Lepisosteus oculatus: one gene and its partner. Each later gene encodes a partner of the first gene's protein in a complex. Links are inferred from orthologs where the notes say so. Each region holds a gene or a part of one and is shown in the gene's direction. Other genes may lie near its edges.

Region 1 (15,561 bases):
ACCTTTTTTTTTCCAGCTGTATATTTTGTTTGCTGTACCAAACAATTAAATAAGACTAGTTAGATAAGTTAGTATACAGTGGTGTAAACTGTGAGCTACATAATTCATATTTCGATCTTCACTTAAAAGGGGACTCCTTGTGTTGCAGGAAGATTTTATGACTTTAATTCATTTCTTTATTTGGGAACAAAATTGCATTAAAAACATGATTCAATATATTTTTTCCTTCTAAACAAGCTAATTAAAAAGCCACACTTTTATGAGTACTGAATTTAACTTGACATTTAGAATTTAAAGAGGAAAAATTCCATCTGTATGTTTCAATTTTTTTTGCTCCAGTTTCCAATAAAAATAGCAGAAATACATTTTTTACAAGTTAAAACTGTAAAATTTTGCTGTGGGTTATTAAAGTCAAGAAGTTGGAATTTTTGCTGAACCCTATTGCTATTTTTGTCTGGAGCCTAGTGCTCCTGGAGGGATCCCCTTTAGAGAAAAGGTATGAAGCAAGGTCCCAAACAAAAACCGATCCACTCAAAGACTCTCATGATGGTTCCAAGAGAGATCAGGAGAACTTCACCAAGACCAAGAATGTCAGGACCAAGTGGTATTTGCTGGCGAGTTCTCTGTCACCAGGACACATATTTTCTCTGAAATGGCTGATTGAACCTGCCATTTTGGGATCGCCACCTGCAGGGTGAAGGGTGAGGGTCAGGTGCCAGTATGGTTAAAAGAGGGATGGGTTATGAAGAAATGGACTCCAGCAATGGAGACCGGCTTTTGGGACATGCATTGTCAATTCTATTGCAGGGAAGGAGGTGGGGCTGCTGGAAGAGGTGGAAATGTACCAGGTAGATGTGGTCAGTCTCAGCTTCACTGGCCATGGATACAAACTTCAGAATGGGGGTCTTTCCTACCTTGAAGTCATACCAGTGGTGCAGCCTCAGGTGCCAGTGGAGACATACTCCAGCTCTTTGCTCTTTCACAAGATTTCTTTCAATACATTAATATGATGGATGTATTTGCTAAAATGTTTTAGGAGTTTGCCAATCTGGTCTATCTTCACTAAGATTACATCACTAACTAAATACTTCATGTTTAGTAGCTGAAGCTGTAGTTAGGATGATTGTCCCTCATTCCACATTTAGTAGGACTGCCTAATAGAGTGGTTCATTGAGTGTCAATGTGGGATCAGGTTGCTCAAAAAACATCACTTAAGGAATTCAGACAAAAGTTACTTCCTAAAACTAAATTTAAAACATTAACTTTATGTAGACTGTATCAGCTTATTCTAGTCTTTTGACAAAGATCTATCCAGGGTCAAAAGCATTTACCGTTTACTAATAACAAATATACTAAATAGTAAATACATTTACTTATGATAAATATTAGTTTTATTAGATTATGTAAAAATGTTTAGAGAAACCACAGTATAGCCTATGTAGTTGTCTAATTCCCTTATTTTAGTTTTTTTTACACTTGCAATGTTCTGTATGATTAATTGTCACAGCAAATTGGAAATGTATTTGAAAGAGTTTAAGTGCAATGATTGCACTGATATCTTTATGAAATTTCAGCTGTGATCTGTACACATCAAGATCAACAGACACTTAAACATTCAGAAATGGCTGAAAAGCAATTTAAAAATAATGCTGAGATAATTTTGCAATCTTTTAATAGATATTTTGACAAACGATGGACTTTCTTTGGCCCTTGTGTTTTCCAGAGATATTAAGTGTTCAGTTAATGTAATACCACCTGTACTGCGTTACAGATAAAGTATAAACCAAAAGCATATGCACAGATTCAGTGAGAAGCCCTTCTGAAATGTTACAGGTTAAGACAATGGATAAGACTCCTCAGCAGGTCTCCTGCTGCTATGCAATACTTTTTCTTTCCGTTTTTGACATTTTATGGGCTTTACTTTTGTTCCTTTGGAGAGTTTAGTCATACGTTATATATAGAGATTTATGACAATATATGGGACAGTGTTTTTATATATGTTCTATCAGGAATAAGCAATAAATGGATACAGATGACTTTGGAATGTGAAGCCTTTTATGTTTTAATCCTGTGCTAAAGATAAGCCTATTATTAAGGTCTTAAAGTGCAATATATAAGTGTGGTATACAAATTGTTAAATTAAACAATGGCCTTGTGACCTCCATTCTATTTTTTTAAATAGGCAAGCTGATACTTCAGTAGGTATATACCTGATAATGTTTTTTGCTGTTAGAGTGTATAATATATACTTAACAAAGACACAGTCAGATACAAAAGTTATTGAACTTTTGCATAAGCTTTTCAAAATATGCACTATCCTGTGTATTAACTTGGGTCAAATTTATTTAATAGAATCAATTTCTGTATATAGGATTATCAAACAAAAAAATATAATTTGCACATTATACATTTTAATCATGCACACAAATAATGTATATAATTACAGCTGAATTATCTATTAAAAGTGAATAAATTAGTTGGGCAATTGACATACTGTATATTGAAAGGTGTCCACGCAGAAAAGCTGTAATAAGAAAAAATATTTTATTCTGAAAATGTCTAACTGGAATTTTGTTACATACTGTAGTTAGGTTTCTGAGTGGTGGCCACATGGGCCATGTTGGGGGAAAAAAAATATTTCTGATTATAAGTCACACCTCACTGAATAACTATGAAAGAGATGCTGGTGTTTAAACAGCTGTCACTCATGACTTGCTGGGCAAATTCCATCATAACCTGGTGATGCTCCATCATAAAATGAGCTGCAATAAAATGTTTACCAGCAGTCTTGAAGGCACTTGTCAAAATGTTGTTACTTGTCACAGCACCTTTTTATTGAATATGACACATTTAAAAAAAGTGCTTTGTATAGTATATCACAACTTATGGCTTTTTTAATTAGTGGACACTAGCTCAATAGATTAAGAGCATTTTAATATGATGGATGTATTTGCTATGTTCCTGTAGCTGGTGATATACATATTGTATAGCCATGCCAGGGTGCTTCCAAGTGTCTTGGAAGCAAATGTGTTTGGTTAAGAAATACTTGTGAAGTGGGGTGTCATGTATAACTATATATATTCAAATGTACACCTTATCTATACCCTGCAGCCCCTGACAACAAACATTGATGACACCAGTAGGGGATACCTAAAGTTCTGTGCTCTACCTCTTGCAAGTACTAGCAGAAGTAGACCACTGCACCTTTTATTCACTGTGCTTCAGTGATGAAGATGATAACATCTGTGCTCCAAGCACATTTCTAGTTGAAGGGAGAAATATGGTGCCTTGGTTAAAAGGCAAATCCTATAATTATTTAACTAAGTGTGCTGTGGGCTCCATACTCAGGGATATTCCACTGCAATATGCTTAATCTGTGGTCTCTCTGACTGGGAGACTTTTCGACTTTTTAAATTGATAGGCAAGGTCAAAATTTGTATGGTATTTGTAAAGGTTTTGTGCATAAATGCAACCTTTTAATCTCAAAATTCAAGATTTCTTAAGTTAAAGACTGTCTAAAAATATATTATACTATAACCAGATAAACGCAATCACAGCTGTGATTCACTGGCATATAACTTCAGATTTTGGGTGTACATCAGTGATTCGGATAACTCTTTGTGGCAACCTGGGCCGTTGAAGATCAGCCCCACCTAATGCACAGCATGCTTTGTGTGAACTGTACACACATTCAGTAAAGTGCTAGCACAGAAAATATGGATGCACAACATGTCAAACAAAATTAGCAACTAACAAACTTTAATTCTGTCTTGTCCAGAGGAAATGCAGCCCTACAACACCTCAATACCTCAAGCAACAATTCTGGAATATTGTTTCAACAAATTAAAAGGTAATAAACTATAAGCTTCCATATTGTAGCCTTTTGAGCTACTTGTTGAGTACGCTCTCATTTCTTTGTGTTGTTCTAGTACTGAAATGCCCCTTATTTCTATTTGGAGTAACTAGAACTGTAAATTTGCATCTACGTCTGGAATATTTGGTTTGTTAAAACTCAAGTATGATCCTCAGGAATTTTTCAACAATAAAATAGCAATTTATACAAACAGTCCTACACATGTGAAAAATATTAGGATAAAACATAAGCATTAACATTTTCGCTTCTTTTTTGTTAAAATTGAGTGATTTGTCAGTAAAAGCCAAATTGATACTTTTTTTAAATGTCTCAGCAATGCAAGCTTAGAGAGGCCTTAAGACTGGAATAACATCTAATAAAGCTATGTATTTACATTTATATTGCACACATTCTTATACAGTATTTCTTACAAGAACAGTCCTTACAATTCAATTTTTAAAACAGATATTTAATTGATCATTTATTTTCATACTCTAAAATAGTCACCCCTTTTGTCAATGGCAATGTGACTGGAGCAATACTCATATTCTCTTGCTCAATAATTCTAAAATTAGTTGATCATTGTAAAACACAGTGCAGTGGCTAAAGAGTGCAAAAAAACAAAGTAGAGCCCTACTTAATGACCTGTTTAATGAGACTGAAAACTAATTTTAGTCTGATAATTCTAATGGTTTCCAGTAATTCTACAAGCAAACTGATAATTACGTGGTAATGTCTCATTTCAGCAAAACAGACAAAAGGCTTGCTGATCTCCATCATTGAAGACAAAAATAGTCAAATGTTCAACCATGTGAAAATACTAAACATATAGAATTCAGAGACAAATTACACTCAGCATTTCATCTTATGCAAATGATTCTGGTGCATAAGAGATTCTGGCAGGCTACAAAAGGCACCAGATCAATGTCATGACTAAGGAAGAAAAGTAATGAGTTTTCAAAACAAGACCACCTACTGTGTCCAGTTTTCTGTGTTGTAATGTGAAACAAACTCACACACAAATGACTTGCGGGTATATATATTCCGTATTCCGTTTATCTTCCAGGCTGCTCTTCTGCTGTTCATTGTGAAATCCAGATGTTTTTAGTTTCAGTCCTGGTACTGTACAATATATAGAATGTCAGGAGAACTAGGGAATGAATTCCAGTCCAAAATCTCTTCCATAGTGTTCTCCAATAATGTTTTTACTGTTTCAGATACTACATAATATTTTTTTACGCCACATTAGAATAGAGTGGCAACAATTGGTGGATTAAGTAAGTTTCATTTATCTTCCCTTATATATGTAAATTGTAATTTCAGAAAGTAAAAACAGTTAAAAGGCCACTCATTCATGATTTATCTCAATAATGCATTTAGACAGCCAGAAATAATGGAAGTTGCATATATTGGGATCTAATGATTCTTATAGGAGTAGACTATCACTGTAGTTACAATGAAAATAACAAAGGTCCCTTGATAGTCAGGTCACACACTACATGAATCTATGTGCTAGTTTTCTACATAGTCGCGTACAGTATGTCTAACACCTAACACAAATACCTGAGCAGCAGTGTTGAACCAGAAAGGCCAATTATGATGACCTGGATTGTTTAAATTCACACACCCATATTCTTTATATGATGTAAAAACACAAAAATGGTTTATAACATTATAAAACATTATTTTTTACATTGTTTAGGCAATCCAGATTAAAACACAAAAAGCATGATGATTTTGTTAATGAAAAAATTGATATTTTTAAATTTACCCCAAAAATGTACTGAGTAAATGAGTTCTGCTTTACATTGCTTTATTAGTCCTGCTCTGTTTCAAAGCTCACTGCGGTCCTTTTAAACACAACATGTGTTTTTTATTTAGGAATATTCACATTGTATTGGATTTATGCACCATTTAGATGGACGTGCTTGAAATGTTGTAATATTAAAAAGCATTCTTTTAATCATGCTATATCAGTCCAATAAACAATGCATTCACAATCAAAATCTTGGCTTGGGGAGACACTCGCTCAGCCACCGCAACTTTTAGTGTTCATGTACTGTAACACTCCAAAGGCAATCAATATGATCAATTACAAAATAAAGTAATTGACAGAAGATCTTCTTTGAAAGCAAGTTAAGTTGCAGATTTGTATTATGAATCGGATGGCATTTAATATAGAACTCGGATATTCTTAAGAATAATTTAAGAAAAGTGCTAATGATAAAACAGTGACTGGAACATCAACTTACAGTAGAATAATGGCACCAGAACAAACAATGTACACTAGGACAGACAAACAATGGGCTCTTTTCAACAAAACAAACTGAATTCAATTGCCCTCCTGAGATGAATAAAGTATTTTGAACTGAATTGAACTGAAATAATTTCTTGAAACTGACAACCATAAAGTCCACGTGCCAGTCTTATGTCCCCTTTGGTCAAAAGCTGAAATGTATTCAGAATAGGGATAAATGTTTACATTGCATTGAGAAAGTGAGCTGCGCAATAAAGAAGTGCATGGAACAGTAAGGGTATGTGCTTGTCAGAATTGCATAATGTTACTGATGATAAGATCATCTTACCTCTCCTGACACTTGGCTATCCTTTGAATGATTTTTTTATGTTGGTGACTTTATACTGGATTGATGAGTTCTGCTTTCGGATTCAAAAATGTGGATAAAAGAACAAAAATAAATCTCTTCCTTGGAGAAACCTACAGTATATATACAGTATATAAGTGCAGTTAACAAAAATATATATTTGCAGGTACAAATTGGGAAAGGCCACCTATGAACAGGACATGTTTGATGTTTATCATATATCAATGATAATGTTTATCCTGCTGTATATTTTCTAGGCCACTCATTCTCAGTCCTAGCCTTGAAGGACCCCTGTGTCTACTGTTTTTTTGTTCCAACTATCTCTTAAACACCACTGCTTATTTCTTCCCCATTCATGCTTTCTTTTCTGAACTGAGGCCTCTAATTCAACATACCCTAGTACACTAGTTCTTGACCATGGTCCCATTGAGCTCATAATGACAGGTTAATTTATTTCAAATTTCTGTTTGAAGTCCTTTATTATTTTATTTCATTTCTTATTATGTGAAGAGACTTGTAATCCATACGAACCCCGTGTTAATTAGTTTCAAGACTGCCATGATTCAGGTGTGCTAGCTGAAATATAATCAGTCAGACCAAAAGCAGAAGGAAAAACACTGACTCAAAATCGGAGTTACAGTTTGTGATAAAATATAATTCCCACTTATGTATGACCAAGTTAATAAAATTCTTTGCATGGAAAATGTTGTAAATCATGAAATTTAACTTCAACTAGGGTAGTTCTGAAACAGAAAAGTTAAATCAACAAGTAGATCAGTTACAAGCATCGGTTAGCACAGGTAAATAAGGGCAGGCAAAATAAGTATACTTGAGAACTAGGATTGAGAACCACACTGTTCTAGACTATGTCTGAAAGCAATTACCAAATATAAAGTGTTTATAGTGAAAGGCTTAGAGCTGAAATCGAGAATGTTCAAATTATAGTAGTATATAGTTGTAAGACAGTGTTAAAATATTGTGTCCAGTTTTCTAGGCAATTTACTGGACTTAAAAGAACATCCTTCACTAACTAAAAGAACTGAACTTGTGAAATCTTAATCTTAACAAGTCTTAAAGCATTGTAAGTCTTAAAAGTGTACCTTTTTAATATAAATATAAATGAATGAAAAGTGTACCAATGACCAAATTATGCTTGTGAACCCAATACCCTAACAACTTCCAGGAAATGATTGGATGAGACCCATGTCAGATATTAAGTCTTAAATCTCTTTAGTGCACACCTGCACGTTGGACCACCAACTTCTTCCATCTTTGTCTCTCGACTGTTATAGTCTCCAGTTCCTTTCCTTCTACTTCAGCCCTTTCTAAATCACTGGAGATTGTCCCCTGCTTTGCTGTTCTGGATTTTGCATTTTGGTACCTGCATTTTCTGGCTTCCATCTGATGGCCCTATTTGACAAATAGTCTTTATCCATTCAGTTAACTAGCTAAAAGCTACTAAAAGAGCTAGATGGAGTGAATGGCCTTGGTTTCTAACTTGTTTTATTTGTGTCCATTTATGCATTTGTACATCCATCTAAGACACAATTTATGGAAACCCAGATTATGACATGCACTGCACCATTTAGACACTTGTACAGTGGCAATTATATCATCTGACGAAAAACATAGGCTCTCAAACAGCAGTCTGTGGGTTTCTGGCCAAATTGCACACGTTTGCCCATTTTTTCAAAATGGATCACAATATTTTTACATATTTTTAAGCAATACAAAATGTGCACCATATTGCAAAGTCATGATATTTTGAGAATCACCGAGTTCAAATAACACAAAAATGATGCTATCTTGCAATCTTCACAACACAGCTACTGGCACAAAAAGAGAAGTCAGGTTAACAGATTGCCCACACTTGCTGCTTCAGTATGTCATGACAGAATGGTATTACTTCTACTGTTTGCATTGTTGCAGTAAAACAAAGAGGAAAGGTTAGAGGTGTAACTGAAAGCATTCATTTGGTAAATGTTTTAATAGCTATGCAAATGAGGGACAGATTTAACAAGTCAATGCACAAGAAAGTTGCTCTGTTTTTAGCCTAATTTAAAATGTTTTTCCCTTTTCTGAGTACTTAAGTTTTTGTGTACGTTTTACGTATTGCCTATTTCCCGCTGATTTCAACAATAAGGTCAATTTGTTATAGTTTTAGAATGCTAATCTATTAATAATCATTTGGTTTAATGTATTAAAACATTTCCAGTGTAATTAAATAGTTTGAAATTGCTTGCATTTGTTTGCATTGAAGGTTTTCGGTACTTTTTAACATCCGCAGTTTTTTTTTTCTTCCTGCACATTTTTATTCAGTCGTTTTTATCAAGAAATACTACCACAAACACGCAGTACAATGCTTACCTTATCAATCAATAGTTTATCACTCCAACAATTGCAGTTTAGGAAACGCTCTTTATCAGCTTTTCTTTTTTTCTCCCATCCCGCACTTAGATGAACTCAGATGCAGCGATGGTTTAGTTCCTGAAACTTTCTAGTTTCCCTGGAAACCGAGGAGGAGCATGAACTCTCACCTCTGACTGCATCAAACAGAAATCAACATGGAGAACTAGGAAGTCACCACTGGTTTGTGCGGATCACATTGCACAATGACCTGAAATGATTTATACTGAGGATGCCAAACAACAAGACGTAATAATTGCGTACAGCTGTGTTACGATAACCGGACAATATGTTTAGATCTGTGGAAAAATGATTTGGAGGTAACAGGATCGGGGTTGTTTTATTTTTTGTCGGTGCAAAATCTGGATGGCAAGTGTATTAATTATACATGTCTTACTAAAAGATGAATGTGATTTATTTTATGTGTGATTTCGCTGTCAGAGTGTAAGGATGTCGTTAAAACATTTACTCCAAGCATTTGTTTATATCTACATTTAATTATAGATTTATTCTTCGTTTTAAATGTCATCCCAAACCAGAATATACTTAGAAAAGCACGGATTTCTGAGATAATCTTGTGATTGGGCCAGATGTGAAATATACTGTCGACTGCTGGAGAAACAGTTTTCCAACTTTTTTTTTATGTTAGGAGTATAGCCTAGATCTGTTACGTGAGAGTGCTTAATAAGAAATGACACTGTACACACTGGCATTTTGAAAGTTAGAGCCTAGTTATATCTGATTCACGTTCCAATGGCTTCGTACAGCTGTTGAGTATGGATTATGTAATCTTTTATCGATATGCATTGTAACGAACCATTTATAATGTTTTAATTTTGTTTTTTACCTTTTTGTGCCATCATTATCAAGCAGTTGACTCTTAAATAAAATTAAATAGATTTTTTTTAAAAAATTGAACAATGTCACTCGCAGAACAGTCCCAAAAGTGGTTTCCAACCCATGTACAAGCCACTGTACTACTAGCCAAAGACTTAATACCCAAAGGTAAAAATGGCTCCAATGATGCTTACACCATCATCCAGCTGGGCAAAGAGAAGTACTCTACATCTGTGGCTGAGAAGACTCTTAATCCAGTATGGAAAGAAGAAGCTTCCTTTGAGCTCCCTGGTTTGCTTCTTGAAGGCAACCCAGAAATCTATGAGCTGCACCTCATAGTAATGCATAGGTCTCTTGTGGGGATGGATAAATTCTTGGGACAGAAGGCCATCAACCTCAATGAAATCTTTGATAACAAGGAACGAAGAAAAACTGAGTAAGTGCTGCCACTACTTTGTACACAAGCATTTGTTTTGTTTTTTTCTCCGAAATGAAATACAGGTGCACAACTTAATTGAGGACAACCTGATTTCCAGAGAATGGTACTGTATGTATGGTAGGTGACAAGAATAAATTAAAATGTTGTCTTTGAAACCCATCCAACCATCCAGCCAAGTTCTTTAAGCTTTGAGACAGACAGGAGGCTTATGGAAATACAGTTTCATGAAAAATCGAATAAGTACAGTACAAGTTAATGAAAATAAATTTTCATTCATCGAATTGTCTATGTATTGGTATTTGATTTTCATTTATTTCACTGTGTGAGTGTCTAAGCAGATTGTAAGTGTGTTTTATATTGATCCGGGAGATGTGTTTGCAGTTGTCAAAAGCACAATTATTAATTCTCAAGCTTCTCTTTCAGGCATAAATTCCATTAGTAGTTCATTCTGTACTCTTGAGTCAAAAGCCAGGTGAATCTTTATTTGGTTTATTAGTCTTTACTCTTAACATTTTATTTCTGAATTTAGTGCCATAGTTGTAGGGACTGCCTTAATATGCGCAGCAGTTTTAGCCCCACAATGTTTGTGTACTCAGTGTTTGTACTATAGCTAAGTGAAGTGAAGGTTATTCTTCTTCCTGTGTGGGGGAGGAGGGCTTTCACCTTGCTTGCAGGAGAACTGTCTGTTGGGACCTCTCATTCCAGGAACTGCAGACTCGCCTGCTTCAGATCACCCAATTAGAATTTTGAGTGGTGATCTAAGAAAGCATGACCCGATTTCATATCAGCTACTCCCCTGCTTGAATTTACTGTGAGAAATTTGACCTCCACTTCAGCAGTGCTCATTTTCAAGTAACCTTGTTACGTCTCATGCAGTGTGATCCCCTGATTCAGAATCTCTGCTTACTATTTCTTACTGTAATGCATTCAGTTTCGTATTGTCCATTGCTGTTTACTGTAAGTAAACTTTTGCTTTAACAAAACTTTTTTTTATCCCCTTAAGATTATTTGAAGGAGAAGAGTGCTCTCTCTGATATAGGCATAAACTGGTATTGCATTAGTATTCCACAATAACATCTCTTTGCAATTTCAGTTGTGAATCCTCTATCAGTTGTGAAGACAAGTGTAACTAACTGTATTCAAGAATGCAAACAGATTTATAAAATCCACTGGTACAATGTTAATTTCACACCAGCAAACAACCTCTCTACAAACTAAAAAATAAAATTTTGCCCTTAGATTTTTGTGTAAGCAACTAAACTATTATTTAAGGTCAACACACTATTAAACAGCTCCCTTAGAAGAATCATGTAACAGACCTCCACTGATGTTCACTAATACATTTCCATCTGCTGGTGGTTTTACTAACCACTTTATAATGATCACATTGTGTGCAATCACAAGACTGAGTTTATCCAATTTTCATTCAGTATTAATATTCTGAGAATAAATATGATGGTGCCTCTAGTATTCACTTTTTTAAACTAAAGCTTTATTTACCATGGGTTTAACTCAATAAAATAGAAAGTTGATTCTCGGATTAAATGGCTGATGTGTGGTGGGCGTTCTGGCGCACTATGGCTGCCGTCACATCATCCAGGTGGATGCTGCACATTGGTGGTGGTGGTGGTGGAGGAGGGGAGTCCCCATTACCTGCAAAGCGCTTTGAGTGGAGTGTCCAGAAAAGCCCTATATAAGTATAAGCAATTATTATTAATTATTATAAATAGTTTAGGGTTCCTTTGGAACAGTTGAACAGTTCAATTTCCACTGAATGGTCCTCAAGGATCAGCGCTTCTTTAACTGAATAATGTATTTATTAAATTGGTCAACCACTTAGAACTGTTGCTATTTTTTTAAAAAAGCTCAGTGTGACCTATGTGATACAAACTGGTTTGGAGCTTTCCTGGACCAGGGAGTTGAGATTATTAATCTAAACTAACAAAGCCTTGCAGATAAGAGAAGAATTTGAAACGTGTATGAGGAAAGACATGCAATACTGTAAATTTAGAAGGAACTATTAATCCAATTTGTACAGTCTCCACTTTTTTATAGTGTGTCACCGCTAAAGCAGCAACACCAGCAATTGTGTCTATGCCTCATTTCTAAACTTGCTGAGTCTTCCTGAAAGGCTAACAGTTTCCTCATTGTGTAGTCAGGATTTAAATTGCTTTAATGTCATGATCAATAGATGGTTTAAATTATCCTTATTCTGTAGGCATCACAGTAACATTCCATACTGTGGGAGTTTATATTTTTAAAACTTGCTTCTTTGCAGCACAAATCAATAATTCTATAATAATAATTCCTTACACTTATATAGCGCTTTTCTGGACACTCCACCATAGCTTACAGGTAATGGGGACTCCCCTCCACCACCACCAAAGTGTGGCCCCTCCTGGAGGATGCAATGGCAGCCATAGTGCGCCAGTACACTCACCACACATCAGCTTTCAGTGGGGAGGAGATCAGAGTGATGAAGCCAATTCATAGATGGGGATTATTAGGAGGCCATGATTGGTAAAGTCCAATGGGAAATTTGGCCAGGACACTGGGGTTACAGCCCTATTCTTTGCGAGAAATTACCACAGAGAGTCAGGACCTCGAAGGATGGCGCCTACGGGTCACTATTCTGGGGAATTAGGACCCACACAGACCATAGGGTGAGCAACCCCTACTGGTCCCACTAACACCTCTTCCAGCAGCAACCTAAGCTTTCCCAGGAGGTCTCCCATTCAGGTACTGGCCAGCCTCACACTGGTGGATCTGACCAAACCTTCACTGTAATAAATTCATTATTTTTTAAATTAAACAAACAGAACCACATGTATATTTGACTAAATCCACCAAAATGAATGATGAGATTAACTGTAAAAAGTAGTTTTGAAAAGTAGCTGTGGTTATACAGTACACCTAAAATAATAGAAGACATATTTCTAAATTCATACCATTTAAATTCAGCAGCTTCCTGTATTGTTCTAGTTGGACCAGTTTTCCCACTTATAGGCTACACCCAGATGAAAAGCTGTTAGCCAAGTCCTTGAAAAAGCAATGTTTTATTCACCTTAACTAGATCTACAGCATCTTCAAGTAGATTCATATTTTGAAAAAAATGGCACTACAAGGTCCAGGTCTTTGTCTTTGTATGTAAAGTACAAAGGTTCTGATTTGTTTATTAATGGAGAATCTGTCACAGCTTTGTCAGTAGGCTCTATTGCCATTGATTTTCAAGGGTTATATTTAGAAGAAAGATGTGCCGGCAGAAATGCACAGTATGAGGAAGCTTTCATGCCATGAGTGTATTTGTTCATGCCTTTGGTCATTACTTTTGTCCCCGAAGTGCCTTAGGAGCTTAATTTAAACTGTATTGTAAATTGTTAAGGCATAATAATGGTTTGTTCAGAAGAAGGAGTTTGCCTGTTGATACTTTAAATTGTGCTATGTTGCAGCTCTTGATCACAATGAGCACTACACTATCTTCACCTCTCAACCTGTACTGTGTGCTTTTGTTTGTTGTGGTTTTGAGTATTGAAACGAATGAGCAAAGTTCATTTTAAAAGGGAAATGGAGTTATTTCATAGCATGGGCGCTAAAGTAAGACACAAGAGGACAATCTGGTATGAATGGCTGCTTCTCCATCTAGATGTTCAAGAGCCACAGCTCTTTGGTCAAATGAAAGAGTTTTGCCAATTGATATCAAAAAATGAAAAAAGAAATCATTTTGTAGAATACAGTTGTACTGTATTGTGTACTTTTTTTCTGACTGGCCAATGGATGTCTGTAGTGTTCTGCTTAAAGGGAGGCAGTCTGATTTGAACTGTGATTGCTGGTATGCTTTACTTCATATCCAAAAATCCAACATTATCTTCCAAGTGAATAAACCTAAGTTTGATGTGCATAATTCGTAGGTGTACCTATGTGTACTTCATGCAGATACAACAGTGATCAAATCTGTGGAGAGCTTTCTTAGCAAGTATCAGTGATAATTTACTGTGTGGGTTAAACTTTAGCTCAGGTCTCTCCTATAACTGTATAGAAACAGTGTATTAGCATATTATTAGTGTTGTTATAAACATAATTATTTTAACCTTTTAATAACCTTTGTATTTTAATTTTCTATATTTTAAATACATTTAGGAGAACTCTTGCAGAGGATTAATAGAGGAGAGCATAAAATATGGAACACCTAGTTTAGAAGTAAAACTGTAAAGTTGACAGCATTCAAGAGCAATAATGTTCTTTTCCTTTACTGATACTTTTTCTTTAGAAAATGACAGTATAATTTCTACAATTCTACTATGGTTAACATGTACAGACCTGGCAAAAGAGCAATGCTATTGTACCTTTGTGAATGTAGAGAATGTTTAAAAACAAACCACGCCTAATGCTGCAATTAAATGGTCTTAAGAGTGGTGATGCACAGTTGAAAGTGCTTTAAAATCATTGAGGGACACCCTTTTTTTCAGTTTAAGATGGATCACAAATCCAATTTAGTATACTACTGTATTTCCAACGAAAATTCTGATGAAACATAAATGAAGCTGATGAACCTAGCTAAGAGAGTAGACAGTAGATAGTAGAGGAACAAGTAATAGGTTTATTCCATGCTGAAAAAAAGGAGAGAGAAAACGCAACATTTCGGCCGTGGAGCCTTCTTCAGGTGTGCTAGGTGTCCTTCTTCAGGTGTGCACACCTGAAGAAGGCTCCATGACCGAAACGTTGAGTTTTCTCTCTCCTTTTTTTCAGCATGGAATAAACCTATTACTTTTTCCTTTGCAGCCTACGCATGGTGACGCAGCTACCCACCTGAACTAGTAGATAGTAGATATCTATCATTGGCTTGTATTGTGCTACCGTTGGACTAATTGGACTAGTTGTTTGCTTTCAAACAGCTAAAAGAACAATGTGTAGGAAATAGTAGGACTCATACTGTGGAAATTAATTGTTAGTACAGATCAGAAAAGGTGTCTTAGGAGCACTACAACCTGAGCTGAGCTTCTTTTAGTTTCTACATTTCATACAATTAGAATTGTAATCTACAGTAATACAGGTTTATAGATGTGATGGCAACCACCACACAAACACTTTCTGTGCAAAGAATATTTCACCTATTTGGCCGTGTTCTCAACAACATTGTGATGTCTTTTTAGTTTTATGATTAATGAGTTGGGAACACAGATACTGTAATTATGAGAATTATTCAAAGTGGAAAGTGTTATTATTTAAAAGAAAGTTTGAATACACTATAGTGTTAAAACTCACATGTACTCTATTTTATAAGCACACCCCCCCTTCAGTACAGTACAGCTCTCATAAATAATTTTGTGGGTGTCCTCGTATTCTTATAACTACAATGGTGTTAAGTTTCCCAGATGTTTAGTATCGGCTCTTGAGTCCATGCAGCTGGTAATGTAGACGTTTTT
Region 2 (15,708 bases), on another chromosome or scaffold:
CTATCCTGGTAATCAACGGGCGCAAAGCATCCCTGGGCGGGATGCCAGTCCATCACAGGGCAGATACACACTCGCACACAGAGCCAGTTCTTCCAATTAATCCACCAGCATGCCTTTTCACTGTGGGAGCAAACCACAGCACCTGGAGGAACATGCAAACTCCTCACAGACAGCACCCCCAGTACTATGAGGCAGGAGTGCTTACCTCCACAGCACCGTGCCTCCTACAGACTGTGCCTTCAACACTTACTTTGGAAACTCAGTGGAGCCAGCCTGGAATAAGAGGAGGGCTCCAGCAGTCCGTTAGAGACTTGATGATGGTGACTTTCCCTCTGCTCCTTTCCCCAGCCTGCTGAATAACGAAGGCTCCCTTCTGGCCTACTCCGGCTACGGGGACACAGATGCCCGCGTGACCGCCGCCATCGCCAGCAACATCTGGGCAGCGTACGACAAGAACGGGCACCAGGCCTTCAACGAGGACAAGCTGAAGTTCATCCTCATGGACTGCATGGTGAGCCGCTGCACTTCCCCGCGTCCCCACCAGGGGTCGACTGTTCCACTCCTCCAGTGCTTCGGCAGACTGCTTACTGCTGCAAGGAGTCAGAGTGGACCAACCACGAACACTGACCACAGGCAGTCTAGAGGACTATAGCATCATCACCTCTCAGTAGTTCAAGTGGGGAGCTGCGTCAGCATGCGTAGTCTGCAAAGGAACAAGTAATCGTTTATTCCAGGCTGAGAAGAAAGGAAACACAAGTTTCCCACTGTGGACCCGAAGAAGGCTCCACCGTGGAAACGTGTTTCTTTTCTTCTCTTTTCAGCATGGAATAAACCTTTACTTGTTCCTCATCACCTCTTAGCCCTCTTTTCTGAGATATCGGAAGCTGATCAAGGCCGAACCTGGACTGCACTGGCATGGGAGGACTGCAGGAATAGCAGTTTGCTAGTGTAAGCGGTGTTGGTAGTAGGTGGTGCTTTTCTCCCTGGGACAGGATTTCCAAGACAGTGTCTCAGCATAGTGACGGGGGGCGCTGTGCTGTAGGACAGGGGCTCCCAGTCCTGCTCCTGGTGGACCACATACCCGATGATTTCTGTTCCCAGCCGAGCCCTCAGTTCCACAGCTGAACTCTTAATGGATGTATTAATATCGATTCATTCATTTTTATATTTAGATTTAATTTGACTGGTTTCAGCTCTAAACATTTTGGAGGTTACGTTTTAACTACTGTACCGCATTTCGTAAGTAAAATCCCCAACTTTTGAGTAGGAAACTCAATGGCAAATAATCAGATCGCTCAGGTAAGTTGTTAGTACAGTGGAGGGTTGAGTGCAGGAGCTACGCTGGGCTGCCGTGGGTGTGTGGGTCTCCAGCAGCTGAGCTTTGAAGCCCTACTCTTCGGATGAGACTTTAAACCTCGTTCTTCACCGCTTGATCTTTCAAGTTCTCTCGCCACTGTTGGAAGAGTAGGTTAGTCTACACATTAGTCTTGGGCCTTGGGCCTGGCGCAGCCTGACCTGCATAAAGCCCCCTGGTGAAGGGTGAACTGATGAAGCTGTTTCCCACTTTCCCATCTGATCTGCTGTGCCATGGAGTTTGTGGCGCACAGTGCAAGTTGTGTCTGGCACCATAGTGGTAGATGAGGTGACGTCTGTCTTGTATATTAAGTGCTTTGGGGTGAAAAGCACTGTAAAACGCTATTAATTCATTTTTCTAGGCTTAAGGAAAGCAATTTACAATTGAGCTGGACTTCAGAATCCCAAAAGGCTTTGATAAACCTCACCTAGAGGTCTTCTCTTGAAGGAGGGGTAAAACGTTGGGGACTCAAGTAGAAGATAGGGTTAAGTGCATTTAGGACCTGTGTCTGTGTTTGTGCTTTACACTAAGAGTAAGTGGGTGAGTGGGGCAAAGTGCCTGGCCACATTCTTAAAGCTGAATTCTTGGGATCCTTCAGTCCTTGAATCCATAATCTTCTGAAAGTTCAACAAGCAGAGTGTGGCTTCATTTTATTTTTAACCTCTCTTGTATTGTTATAATCTTTTCCCAGTAATCATCTTTTTCACGCTTGTGAGCTTATACATGTGTTATAACATGAAAACTAACCAGCTGCCAGGAGAGAGATCCTGACCTTAGATTTATTGTTTGTCATTTATTTTCAGAACCAGTCAGTGCGAAGCAGTTTTTTCATGTGAGAGTTATCACCCAAGGAAACCTATTCTGAGTCACCATAGTCTCTGAAAATCTTAAGTCTTACATTTATTTGTTACTTATGTTTTATTACTTTTATGAACATACAAAGGTAATCAAAAATAAATGTAAAAAGTTGCAAAACATCAACTATTACAAACATAAATGAGTATAAAGTCTGTTATTTATCATTCTTTTCCATTTTGTCAGGGGAGATAGTGCAGGGGAAAGATGAGGGTGGAGAAAAAAGAACTTCCAGAAACAGAAAAACATTATCATTAGGTCATATAAATAATCCACCTCTCCCAGTATCTCTCCTTCTCCAGAGACCTCCTTCTGGAGTTTTAACTGGTAGGTTAATTTTTCCATTTCAGCTTAAGTGTTGAATTTAATGCAGAAATAAATAGTCAGAGCAGCTACTTCCTTGTGTGACTCATATCACCGAGGCTGATGCCTGCTGGCTAGCGAGGCTGCCGTGGAAGATGGGAAGGGCTCTTGGAGAGGGATCTGTGTTGATACTGATACTCTGGAGCTCGAGAGATCGAATCCTGGCTGGGGGGCAGACTTCACATATGACACGAGCATGTGCACATCCCCAAGGCAGCTGGTGTTTCAGTGGGGCCTTTTTACAGGAAATCACCAGGCGCTGGGATGGTGATTCCAGGGCGAACGGAAACAGAGATGATAGAGATTCAGTATTGGATCCATTTTTTTTTTCCTCTCCCAAGTTACATGACAGAATCCCCCCCCCCCAAAAAATACCGAGCTCTGGTGACGTGTTTCAGAGCCGGGGCTGGTGCGTCTGGTGCTCGGTCTGCAAGAGGCTCAGGTCTTGTTCCCTTGTGTCTTGTAGGAGGGCCGAGTGGCCATCACCCGTGTGGCCAACCTGCTGCTGTGCATGTACGCCAAGGAGACGGTGGGCTTCGGGATGCTGAAAGCCAAGGTCAGTGCTGCCACGTTCTTACGGGCATTTCGTGGGGCTCATCTGCCAAAAGGTGGTGCCTTGATTGGAGATCACGGGTTCGAATCCGGGCTGTGGCACAGGCCAACTGTTGCTGGGAGCTCCCGGAGTGAGGGGGGGGGTGCAGGCGTGGCACAGCTGGCCTGAGTTGAGTGGAGGCCTGAACAGGGGGTCGCTGACGACCCCACGTGGGTAATCCTCACTGGCGCGCACCGGCCGCCGTCAGAGGAGGGCCCCTTCGGGCTCGGGGCGCAACCTGAGACCAGCGGCTCCGAGCGAGGCGGGTCTCTCCCTCTGACGGCGAGACTGGGCTGGCGAGGTGCCTTTCAGTTGAGCAGGTAGACTCGTTTCGCCAGCCACCGGACTCCCAGGATTCTAATGAATAAATAAGGAAAAGGCACTCTTATGCGATTTCCAAATTAAGATCTAATGCAGGGGATTCACGTTTAGTCTGAAGAGAGATTCTGTATTCTCCCCCCCTCCCATAAGACTGCATGTTCAGGGTGGTTGTGCAGAAGGAGACTGTGGCTCTGGGCTCAAACCTGCGGAGCTGAGAGAACGAGACAGTGAGATGTGCGCTCACCAGACAAAGTACTACTGCTGCATGACATGCAAAAGCACAGCAGGGGCAGCATGGCTGCTGTACTAGGAGGTTCTGAAATATTTTCCCTCTCCTGCTCCTCAAGCATTCTCGTCTTCCACCTGGGGTTGCAGTCTGAGGTTTAATAAGGTGTGGGATGGAAGCCTGTTTTCAGCAGGGTAGAGATGGAGGTGTGTTTTCCAGAGACGTCGGTCTGGAGCTCCCCAAGCCAGCCGTGTGCTGACACCTGCTTGGTGTGGAGCTCGTGCAGAATGCTATGGTGCATTTAGGTTTGCAGAAGTCTTTTGATCAACTTCCTCATCAAAGATGAATTCTCAAATGGCGGACAGTAGGACCTCAGGGAAACAAAAGTGTTCAGATTGAAATTACCTCGTAAACAGAAAACAGGGTAGTAATAAGGGATGAACAAGGGTGATGTAATGTTCTTCCTCAGGAGATATACTAGGACCACTGCTCTTCTTAACCCATATCCATGAGCCAGGATCCTATATCATTAGTAAACTAATCACATTTGCACATGATACCAAATAAGGGGGATTGGCACACCCCACAGGATCAGCACCTGAAATCCAAAAAGAGATAAACAGTGTTGATAAAATTCAAAACGTGGTGATCACTTGGCTACACTAACAGGTGTCATGTGGAGAAGTGCAGGGTTTTGCATGCAGGTAGTAAAAACAAAATACAGGTATAAAATGGGAAACACTGAGCTATTAGAGGCTACAAATGGAAAAAAAAGACTCAGGTGTTTATGTTGATGCATCATTTGCCTTAGGAGAAATTAAGAAGGTAAACAAAACATTAGGATATAGTCTGGATTACAATACAGAATTTAAATGTGGGTGGGGGGTGTTAGGCTGAATAATGTATAGTCCATTAGCAAGGCCTACTTAGAATAATATGTACATTATTGGTTAACATGCTGTAGAAAAGATGTTGCTGCTCTGAAATCCATCCATAGAGAGCAACTCCAAGGTATATGGGGATGTCCTACACCTACAGGCTGAGATAACTAAACACTCTTCAGTCCTGAGCAGAGACCCCCATAACAAGCATTCAGGACCCTCAAAGTCAGCCCCGAGGCCAGAACAGGGCTGTGTCAATAGGAGCCGAGCTGTTGAGGGTGATACACTGGCTTCCTCCAAGGAATTGCCTAATGACATCCTTGGCTTAATTATCTACTGACCTCCAAAGGGGCAAGATGAGCAGAATGTTCTTCTCTTATTTGTAACCTTCTTAGAGTGCTGATGTTTTGGGGGTGTAGTTCTCCAGGTGTCCAGCAGGTGGCATGGACATTTAGTTTTTTTTCTTGTACTCACAGGCTGGTGTTAGCGCCTGAACAGCTCAGTTCTTCATTTTGAAGCAGAGCCGAGCCTGGCAGTAATGAATCAGCGTCAAGTGTCTTGCATTGACTCATGACGGTCTTGGCTTCTCAGAAACAAGATGAGGTTCCGCCAGCTCTGATCCTGGAAAGGACTGTGAGGTCACGTTAGCTTTGAGGGAAGCCCTGGTGTGTAAATCCACAGATTTCTCACAGATTTGAAGCCTTTTTTTCTTCTCCAGCAGGCCAAGCTACAAAGCATTTAAATTTGCTGCCTAGTTTTTTTTAATATGAAAGAAGGTAGACATTTAGCCAGCATCCATATCACTCTGCAACTCCCAGCTGGCAGCCCCACTGAAGCTCAGCAGGTGTGAGCCTGATCAGTACCTGGATGGAGACCTCCTGGGAAAAACTAAGTCTGCTGCTGGAAGAGGTGTTAGTGGGGCCAGTAGGGGGCGCTCACCCTGCGGTCCATGTGGGTCCTAATGCCCCAGTATAGTGACGGGGACACTATACTGTAAACAGGCGCCGTCCTTCGGATGAGACATAAAACGGAGGTCCTGACTCTCTGTGGTCATTAAAAATCCCAGGGTGTTTCTCGAAAAGAGTAGGGGTGTAACCCCGGTGTCCTGGACAAATTTCCCATTGGCCCTTACCAATCATGGCCTCCTAATAATCCCCATCTCTGAACTGGCTTCATCACTCTGCTCTCCTCCCCACTGAGAGCTGGTGTGTGGGGAGCGTTCTGGCGCGCTATGGCTGCCGTCACATCATCCAGGTGGGGCTGCACACTGGTGGTGGTGGAGGGGATCCCCATTACCTGTAAAGTGCTTTGAGTGGAGTGTCCAGAAAAGCGCTATATAAGTGTAAGCTATTATTATTATTATTATTATTATTATTATTATTATTATTATTATTATATATATCTTTTAGGATTTAACCACTATACAGATGCAGATAATGATTAAAACTGGAGATGCGGATTGCTGTTCAATGCTTAAACATTTTGCTGCTTAGTTACTGTTAAGTGCTTGCCACCATCTGTACAAAATAATCCTTGGCCATTGTGCTGGTTTTAAGAGGAGTGGGTTTCTGTGCATTTTTGAAACTTGATGGAAACTGACTGTGCTTTTCCTTCTCTTGAAAGAACATTTTTCTTATTTCATTAGTTGTTATTGTTTTTCTGCACACTTTGGTGGTCTTCTAGTTGGTTGCTTGAATGTGGAAGTAAAAACAATATATTAAGGTCAGCAAAGGTAATGCTTAAAGTAACAGTAAGCTACATTTTTTGCCTAGGCTGAAGCTCTGGTTCAGTACTTGGAGGAACCTTTAACCCAAGTGGCTGCGTCATGAACACTGGGGAAGAAAATGACTGTGACACCGATTCCTGGATTTCCTGTCTGAAGTCTCTGGAAGGAAACTGGCCAAGGAGCAACTTTCTGTTGGACTCTTTCAGGGATGGTTTCCAAAACTAAGGCTGTCTTGATCCATAAGGCAGCACTATCCTGAAGCATTTATCTGTATATAGCATTGATTTCAACTGTGCATGTGTTTAGATCCTGTTTAAAAGTCATTCTGTGCAGAACATTGTTTTAATCAAAGAATCTGTAATACCACCTCTGTGAAATCTGTAAACAACAAAATGAAAGAAGTTTCTTGCTGTCGATACACCAGATTTTTCCTTTATTGTCAAACATTGGCTCTTGCAAAGCAAATGTAATGAACAGTGTGGGTGTGCCTTGATGCCTTGGTTTTGAGCTTGCATCAGATTATTTTCAGTTTGCAGTGCACTTGGAGACAGAAATACAAATCTGCTTGTTTTCGGTGATACATGACTCCTTGGCTTCAGTCCCCTTTGCTCAGCCCTGTACCCTGGGCATGGAGATCAGAGAATGTTTCTTTGTACTGCCCAGCTGTGAACTCCATATCTGTGAAGTATTACAGTCCTGCTCCATTTACCTTACATTGGGCTGTTTGCAGTTTGCAGGAGGTTGTCCAGTGGTCCATTAGCTCAGGAAGGTGTGAATGCACAAGGCCTGGATGCAGCAGTGTGACAGAAGGAGCCAGGGACAGCAAGGCCCAGCCTGTCTAGAAACTTTATGAGTGTTTGATTTTGCTGTATTACACAATCTATGGAGAAGGACTCCTCTCCTGGTAAAAGGAGTCTTTTATTGTGTTTGGGTCTTTTTTTAAAATATACTGTCTTTTATTAGATTTATTCCCTAGTAGTTAAAGGGTGAGGTACAGAGCTGCTGGCTTCTTGACAATCACTAGGGGGGTTAGAGAAGTAGGGGTAGCAATCACAGTGCTGAAGGTATTTTGTCATCAGAATGTTTCATGTGCCTTCATGTTAGCAGGTTGGATCAAGGTGTTAAAGGTAGGAAAAACTGTACCAGCTCCCCTGAATATTCCTGGTAGACAAACAGCCCCCTGCCGTCGGCGTCCTGTGAAGCTGGTGCCCACCTGTCCGGCCGAGACTTCAGCAGGGCGTTGAGCGCGAGGGGGCGGGGCCGAGCTCACACTCCCAGCCGCCAGGATCTCCCTGGGGGGGCCGGATGGCCGGCCTTATTACCAAGCCGCAGCGGCTGATCGGGTTAATGATTACAGCCCGAGAGCGGCGAAAGGAAGGGAGGGGCTGGAGCCGAGAAAGCTGCCGCTCTCCTTCACTGATTGCAGGTTCATTTTTGGAAGGCGGAGGGGGAGTGTCTTTCGTGGTGGTCCGTTGGCTGGAGAAAGTGAGAAAGTACAAAACGAGAGGTCCTCCCAATGTCAGCCCTGTGGTGATTCAGTACCAGGGTGGGGGGTGGAGGCCAGGCTGCCTCTACCTGTTCTACCTGCTTCCCGGACACGCCCACCGTCAGCTGTGAGCGCAGCCGCCAGGTCCTTGTGCAAACACAGCACTGACTCCTGCGCCCAGGGAGAGAGAGTGGCGGCCGCGGTGATCTCGACCACCTGGACTTGCTCAGGCAGGGTACTGCATTCCGGACTCGGATCTCTCCCAGAGGGGAAAGGGAGAGCAGGAGAACGGGGGCGGGGGAGGTGCTGGAGGACGGTACCTTTTCCACCTTTTCTCCCTGACCCGTTCGGCAGGGACGCTCACGGGCCCGACGAGACGGCAGCAGGTGAGCCGCCAGCATGGGGACAGACGAAGACTATAACTTTGTGTTTAAAGGTAAGGCTCTTGCTCTTAACAAACAGCCGCCTGTGTAAGGTGTTTGGGGCTGCAGAGGGGGGGCTGGATCGCTATGGGGGCCCCACGGGCCTGGGGGGGGGGGGGCAGAAGCCAGCCCGCTTCAGGCCTGCGGTAGTTCTCTGGTGAGCCGTCGGACAAGGTAGGAAGCAATGCATGGGTATCAGGCTCGAATGCAAGCAGCAGCTCCCTGCACTTCTAGCCCATTACACATTCCTTGAGTGATCTGTCTCGGATACAGATCGTGCCTGCGCCTGCTGATTCTGCATTGATCTGGTGCTGGGGCCAGTTGTCTCTTTTTGCACGGGGGGGGCCCCGTGAGTCACTCAGCTGCACGTCATGGTGCGACAATGCACAAGGCAGATGCGCTGTCCATGTACAGAGCGTCCATAGTGGTGGAGGCTGCATGTGGGAAGGCGAACATTTTCCCAGTGTTGGTCTGGGCGGTGACTGACTGCATTTTCACTCCCTCCCCCGAAATCGACCTGCTGCCATGTCAGCCCAGCCAGGGATGTTTACAGAGCCGATGAGTCAACTTTTTGTTTTTCTGCTGTAGCAACGCACGGTCTTGCGGAAGGATTGGCGCGGGTATGTCTGGGAGCTGCAAATGGACAGAGTCACGAGCCGCAGGGACTCGGAAAGCAGGGGAAAAGCTTGAGCTCCCTTTGATCTGACACGCACACTCTCCGTTTGTTGGCCACGAAGAGCGTGTGGCCTAGATCGAGCTGCATCTTGTTCACTTGAACCAATCACATCTCGATCCAAACTACTGTTAGGGCTCCTGAGTCTTATTCAATGTGGCATGTGCCCCTGCTGTACGGTTCAGACTAGACCAAATTTCCCCCTGGCCTTTACCAGTTATACCTCCCATCTCTGAACTGGCTTCATCACTCTGCTCTCCTCCCCACTGAGTGAGCGGACTGGCGCATCATCCAGGTGGGGCTGCACACTGGTGGTGGTGGAGGGGAGTCCCCATTACCTGTACAGCGCTTTGAGTGGAGTGTCCAGAAAAGCGCTATATAAGTGTATATTATTTATAAGGAAAGATGTGGGTCAGACTCCTTGTTGGCCTTGTCATGCAAAGTCTGATCTAGGTCACCATGTGTACGAGGTTGTTAGGTCATGGCTGTAGAGGGATTGTGAGGAGAAGAAACAAGTGTGATATATTTGCTATGTGTGAGGGCTTTAAAACACAGTTGAATGTGGAGAGAGAAAGGCTGTTACTAGTGGTAACAATCAACCAGTTCATCTCACAATGAAATATGGTCACTTTGTCAACAACATACAATGATACTGTGCAGCAGTGGAGCTAAAATCCACATGGACCACGCAGGGTCCCGTAGATCAATATGTAAAGTATCTCTTTTTTTAACTGGTTTTAAAATGGATCTTTTTTTGCTGTACAGCGAAGTTCACTGCTTATGCATCCTGTGTTGTGCATCTCAGAGCATTCCAAATACCATTAGGGAAAAAAAAACAGTTTTTTTTAAATATGCCTTCATACTAGTATTTGACTGAAGAAACAGATTAGAAACTGCAGGAAAGTTTACAGCGTGAAGTCTCATGTGATATTATTGTCACCAAATCCTTGCTGTGCTGAGGGAGAGTGGAAGTCTCTGGAGCTCTCCTGTTTGTGATTCACCTAACACAGTGCATCACTCTGCCCAATGGCTGACAAATCTGAGCCCAGCCCTGCATATTAAAGTTAGTGGGCAGCATTGCTGCTGCTTCACAGCTCTGGGGCCCTGGGTTCATTTCCTGGGATGCTGTCTGCACGGAGTTTGCATGTTGTCCCCGCATTCGCATGGGATTTCTCCGGGTGCTCCCGTTTCCGGTAAGGAAATTCGTTTTTTATACCAAGAGCTGTGGTTGTCTGGATCAAGCCTCCCAGCCAGGGCCTGAAGTCCGTACTCTTGACTCCTTGAAGAAGCAGCGAAATGAAATTTTAATATTGCTTGTCTGCTAAACCTCCAGTCGAAAGACTTTTGGGGCATGGGGGACGATATTCCTCGTTCTGGAATGAGGGTGGAAGGCCGCAATTGCCCAGACAGCTCTCTGAAATGCACAGACATGGCTAAAGCTGGCCTCGTGTTTCTGTGCGTTTCATCCCTCCTCACAATGTTCTTTCCCGGCTGTCTGAGGTTTTCACTCACTTTTTCTAAAGTTTGTTTCGAACCCCACAGAGCCATCAGTGCCTGTGCGTACTTCATCGTGATCATTGCAAATACGGCGGTGAGAATGGTTATAATTGAGAGCAGGTAACTTGGTTCATTTAGCTCATTTATTTTTTCAATAGCCAATTGATCTGAGGATCCCACCCCGCCATTTCTGAAGGAAGCCAGGGTATCAGTCTCTACGAAACAACTGGGCAGTGAGTTCCACACCCCCACTGAGCTTTGTGTAGAGAAGTGCCGCCTGTTCTCAGTGATAATTGTGCTTCCACTTCATTTCCGCTGGTGCCCCTGGTTAGTGTAGATGTTCTATCAAGAGGGTAGAATAAACAAAATAAAACAGAAATACAGGAAAGGTACATAACATGACCCTAATCTCAAACAAAAGACTACATGCGATATGATTTCACGCAGTGATTTAAGGAGAATGTTTTCATGAGAATTCATACTGTTCCACCAGGTATTCAGATAGATGGGGACTGCCTCTTAGTCTGGAGCTTTTTCAATCTAAAAGTCCAAAAGTGTTTCATTCGTGAATCCATTGAGAGGCAGCTGGAAGATCCTGGTGGTTCCATTTATCCATATTTTAGTAGCGGCCATTTGTCAAACTCAGACGCTTCCATTCAGTTCCATAACGTCACCTAAAAAAGCTGATACTGGGCTCATGTTTAAGACCTTGTTCTAATACGTTGCTTAAGATATTTCTAGCTACCATTTCCTTTAATTGAAACAGGTGACGGTCACAGAGCCCTCTTTGCTGAGCTTTGATTTCCTGGAGTTTAGATTCAGTTCCTCCTGTGCGTCCAGCCCTTGTTCATGAAAGCAAGCTATTGTTCTGTAGCAGCCCTTACCCCTCAGAGCCTAGTCTACTTCTCTTCTCCTCTGTGACATCACTTCCTCTTCTGCATGCTGAGGTCATAGTCTCTACCACTGGGCTCTGTTTGACGCCTGGTTCAGGAGATGCCACACTGGGGCCTGTTTTTAATTGTTAAAGGGACAAGATCCATATCTCTTCCTCTTGTATGTGAAACAAAAATTGAGAATCTGAAAAGACCAGAGACAGCCAATTGTGAGAAACCTGAACCAAACTCAGGGATCTCTGTCAGATTCACAAAGAGAAACCTGTCACGTACCCAAGGGAATCTATCACTTCAGGTCACCTTATAAAACCGTAGCAAGCTCACAATCGCAGTCTGTGGACCATTACCTGAAGCATAACACATCCAGGCAGGTCATAAAAATTCCTTCAGCCTGTTTTTTCACTCTGGGTTAAAAATAAACCTGTCTGGGAGCTCTGGAAACTGGGAGCTTTCATTTAGGCCTAAAGCAAGCTGCAATCTGAATTCCATTGTACAATTCCTGTTAGGAGTAAGTGAGTACTGTGCTTCTCACCCCTGTGGTACAAACTGGTTGTATTCGCACCCTGTAGGCACGGTGCAAACGAACATTTGTTGTGCAGATCTGCCTCTTCATAAGTCCACCTGACTTTTAACCCTCCCCCCCATAAAGATTAAGTTAAAATAGTTAAAATAAATAAAAAAGTTAAAATAAATGAGCAGCTGAGCAGATTTCGAGAGGACCTTAACTGAACATAGTGTACCGTACTGACAAAATCAACCCAGAGCACCAATTCATCACAAACCAGCCTAGAAAAGCCATAATTAAAGGCCTCATAAGCTCCTAAGAATAATATTTCTTTCGTTTTCTTACTGATGAGAATTGAAATTGATTTGATTATTTTCCAGAAGTCTGGACTCGGGGCTACAATTTAAAATAATGTACTGTAAACGAAAACGCAAGTCTGTCAATTTGGAGGCTACTGTATATTCGCTGAATGGACTAAGTCCCATCGTAGAATGTGACTTTGTGATCTCTAGCATGGATACAGCAGATCCACTTGCGCTGCCATTTGGACAAATCTACGCTCTTGGTCATTAAAATATGTGATAGGAGCAGTCTGTACACAGGGCTCGTGCAGCAGCTCCAGATACTGGATCTTTTAACAGCCACTGTACCCAGTCCCTGGTGCTCAGGGCTTGCTCTGCTATGCAATGGGCGTCTCACAGCCACGCCTTGCAACTGTGCTGTGCTTGATCTGTCCAACAGGCACGGCCGATCAGACGTGAGACTGCTAGTGTGGGCCTGCCTGTTATTGGGAAAGGTCTGCGGATTAGAAAAAACGGATAAGCAGGGTGAGGTGTCTTTCTATTGACCGACAGCAGCCCAGCCCAAAACTGCAGGATGTCACATTACAAATAAATAATAGTCCACCGCCTGCAATGTATTATTCTACACAAAACAAGTAGCCGAGGAGCCAAACTACAAACTACTACTGTGGACGACACTGAGCTTGAAGAAGCTGCTCATGAAAGAGGTTATGTTGACACATGTTGTAAAATGACATTTTATAGGGAATGGGAGGAAGCAATAAAAAAGGAAAAAAGAGCATTAAGTTTAAAATGTAAAGAGCATTTTAAAAACGCTGTTTTAAAATTGTACAATGATGTGAGAGGCTCATACCTGAAGCCTGAAGTCCACATAGCAGGAAACAGAACATAGAGAGAGTGACTCCCCTCACCCAGGAGGGGCTGGGAAAGAGATCTCTGGCCCCCAGGAGGCATTATTCAGACTCTTTAGGGGTACTTAACAAGGGTACTCCATACAGTGCATCACACAGGGAGGTGTGCAGGTATTAAGGTCAACAAAAAGGCAAAATGCTCAAATCTGAATGGAATCACCATTCCATACTTAATTCCATTTTGTAATGGCCTGCTCGCTGGGGTGTCTAAATCCACATCAAACAAACACCAGTATGTCCAGAATTCGGCAGCCAGAATCCTGACCAGGTCGTGTTCAAGTGATCGCATTACTCCTGTCCTGGAGTCCTTGCACTGGCTTCCTGTCAGGTTTCGTGTCAACTTCAAAATTCTCACCTACAAGGCTCTGCATGGCTTGGCACCTCAGTACCTGTCTGAGTCACTATCACCCTACTCCCCACCTCACAACCTTCTCTCTTCTATCTCTGGTCTCCTATCTGTCACCCAAGCCTGCCTACACTCTGTGGGTGACAGGGCCTTCTCTTGTTCTCCTGCTCCAAAGCTCTGCAACTCTATCCCCAAGGATATCAGAGTCACCTTCCCTGAGCTCCTTCAGATCAAGACTCAAAACCTTCTTCTCCAGAAGGGCTTTTATTTAACTGGCTGTCTGCTGCCCCTTTGCTTTCCTACTGTATTCCAAATTCTCACTGTAACTGTGCAATTCTGCTTCTCCTCTCATTGTGTGCTCATTGTTTCTTACTGTAAACTGCTTGATAAAGCCATTTTAGAGGCAATGTATATAATTGTTTATTTTTAACATATTATTATGATTATTTACATGTGGTGATACTGAATGCCTGACAATTACACATGCTGCTAAACTAACACGCTACCCCCCCGACAGACAGACTCTTTATTTCTGTTCGGATACCTGCTCCCAGAACTGGCACGGAGAATGGGTACAACGTGTTTTTTCAATAGGCATCTGTGTGGAAAGATGGGTATTATTTTTCCTGAATGTAGGAGAACTGCATCCACATACCAGCTGAGTGCTCTTGCTGTTTAGATAAGATGCAATTTCAATATACTTTGCATCGCCCAGCACGCGTGCTCAAAGCTCTCTTTCCGTCCTCGGATACAGTGTTGAATTACCGGGATTTGTCCTCAGGGAAGCGTTGGTCAGGAACACTAAAATCCCATTTTTATAGGACATGGCTGTCTGTGTCCACCAGCCCCACAGTCCAAGGAAAAGTCCTGCAATTCCTGTTTCCAAACATGCCCTAAAGTTGGAAATTTGGTTGCGGTGTGGGAACGACAAGACCAGATTTTGTGTTTTGGAAGTGATCCTGTTTTGTGCTGATTTGTGTGTAGCTGCATGTAAATTATTTAAGAACATTGGGTAAAAAAAATCTCTTTATCTATTACTCATTCAGCATCTCTTTTGACTACCTGTTAATTAATTGAGATGCAGTCATCCAGCATTACCCAAGCCTGCTGGAAAGGTAAGTACTGTATTGGGGTATCCAGAAGGTTGCAAGGGAGGGGCTATTCAGCTGAAGTCATCTCGCTTTCCTGCCAGTAGGTGATTGATTCGGGAAAAATCAGCTTGAACAACATAAACTGGGCGGCTTTTTTAAGACACCCAGCACTGTTTGGATAAAGATGCACCTCCGTTTGTCACTCCAAAATGCCACCTGCTTGAGTTCAAACCAGTCTGGTAACTCCTTGGGTCCAATCTGCTCGTTGTGACTTCTGTTAAGGCAGATATTTGGGATTGTTCTTACGAAATTGACCAGGTTTCCGAAAGCAGTTGCTACAATAAGTTTCATTCTGTTCACGCCTCTGCTGATTAGCTCGCCCACAGTGGGAGTTGGAGACAGTAGGAAATTCTGTGCTGGGAGTGTCTTGGAATGTTGCAACTTTGTCAAGACTGTGTGGAGGCTCTGAGAACTGGGTGGATCTGGGGTGCAACTGAAAACAAAGCAGACACTCCTGCAGTGATAGTCTCCAGAACATTCACAGCTCAAACTATACTATTGTTCACTTCCTACCTGAAAAACCGAACAGCCAAATCTGTAACCAGGGCAGCAAAGAATGATGGGATTTGTAGTTAAAGTTCAGTCAAGAATTTAAAAGAAGTGTTGTTTGTTAAAACTGTTATACATTGAGGGGCAATGGCACAGAGGTCAGCATTGCTGCCTCACAGCACTGGGACCCTGGGTTCAATTCCAGACCTGGGTTGCTGTCTGTGTGGAGTTTGCATGTTCTCCCTGCATTCGTGTGGGTTTCCTGTGGGGGCTCCAGTTTCCTCCCACAGCCCAAAAACGTACTGGTAGGTTAATTGGTGTCTGGGAAAATTGGTCCTGGTGTGAGTGTGTGTGTGTTTGTATCTCTGTGTGTCTGGGCTGAGATAAACTAGAGTTCTGTCCAGGGTGCACCCCCACCTTGAGCCTGTTGCTTGCTGGGATAGGCACCGGCTCCCCCACGATCCTGTAAAGGGATAAAGGGGCTGGAAATTGGATTGATGGTATATGTCGATTATAATTTTGGTCATGTTAAAAAACCGTTCACGGAAATGATCTGGAAGATTGACACGGTACATTCCTGGGCTCAACAAAAGTTTCTTCCCTCCCAGATTCCAGGAATTTCATCTTCTTTGCTCTAATCTAGAGAAGACTGAGAGGAAGCCAGATTCAAGAATACTAAATCCTCAAAGGCAGTGACAAACTCAACCCTATGTTC

The links.
Region 2: the proteins of rab11 family-interacting protein 2 (region 1) and rab25b are in contact, whole or in part, in a crystal structure (PDB 3TSO), measured with the Homo sapiens proteins. The link is inferred for Lepisosteus oculatus from reciprocal best matches to the Homo sapiens genes RAB11FIP2 and RAB25. Residues at the interface, in NP_055719.1 of Homo sapiens: Arg475, Glu478, Ile481, Asp482, Asn483, Leu485, Val486, Met489, Pro493, Ser494, Leu496, Arg497, Val498, Pro499; in NP_065120.2 of Homo sapiens: Arg34, Ile45, Gly46, Val47, Glu48, Phe49, Ser50, Thr51, Lys62, Trp66, Arg73, Arg75, Ala76, Ile77, Ala80, Tyr81.

What each region holds. Positions count from the first base shown.
Region 1 is NC_090699.1:32,576,218-32,591,778, reverse strand, and holds the start of rab11 family-interacting protein 2, read left to right. Parts: upstream 1-9,016; 5' UTR 9,017-9,782; coding exon 9,783-10,135; intron 10,136-15,561. UniProt on the Homo sapiens protein: A Rab11 effector binding preferentially phosphatidylinositol 3,4,5-trisphosphate (PtdInsP3) and phosphatidic acid (PA) and acting in the regulation of the transport of vesicles from the endosomal recycling compartment (ERC) to the plasma membrane.
Region 2 is NC_090722.1:3,028,526-3,044,233, forward strand, and holds the start of rab25b (ras-related protein Rab-25b), read left to right. Parts: upstream 1-7,789; 5' UTR 7,790-8,203; coding exon 8,204-8,240; intron 8,241-15,708. Other genes in the region: ragulator complex protein LAMTOR2, read left to right, coding at 349-511, 3,039-3,128, 6,365-6,421. UniProt on the Homo sapiens protein: The small GTPases Rab are key regulators of intracellular membrane trafficking, from the formation of transport vesicles to their fusion with membranes.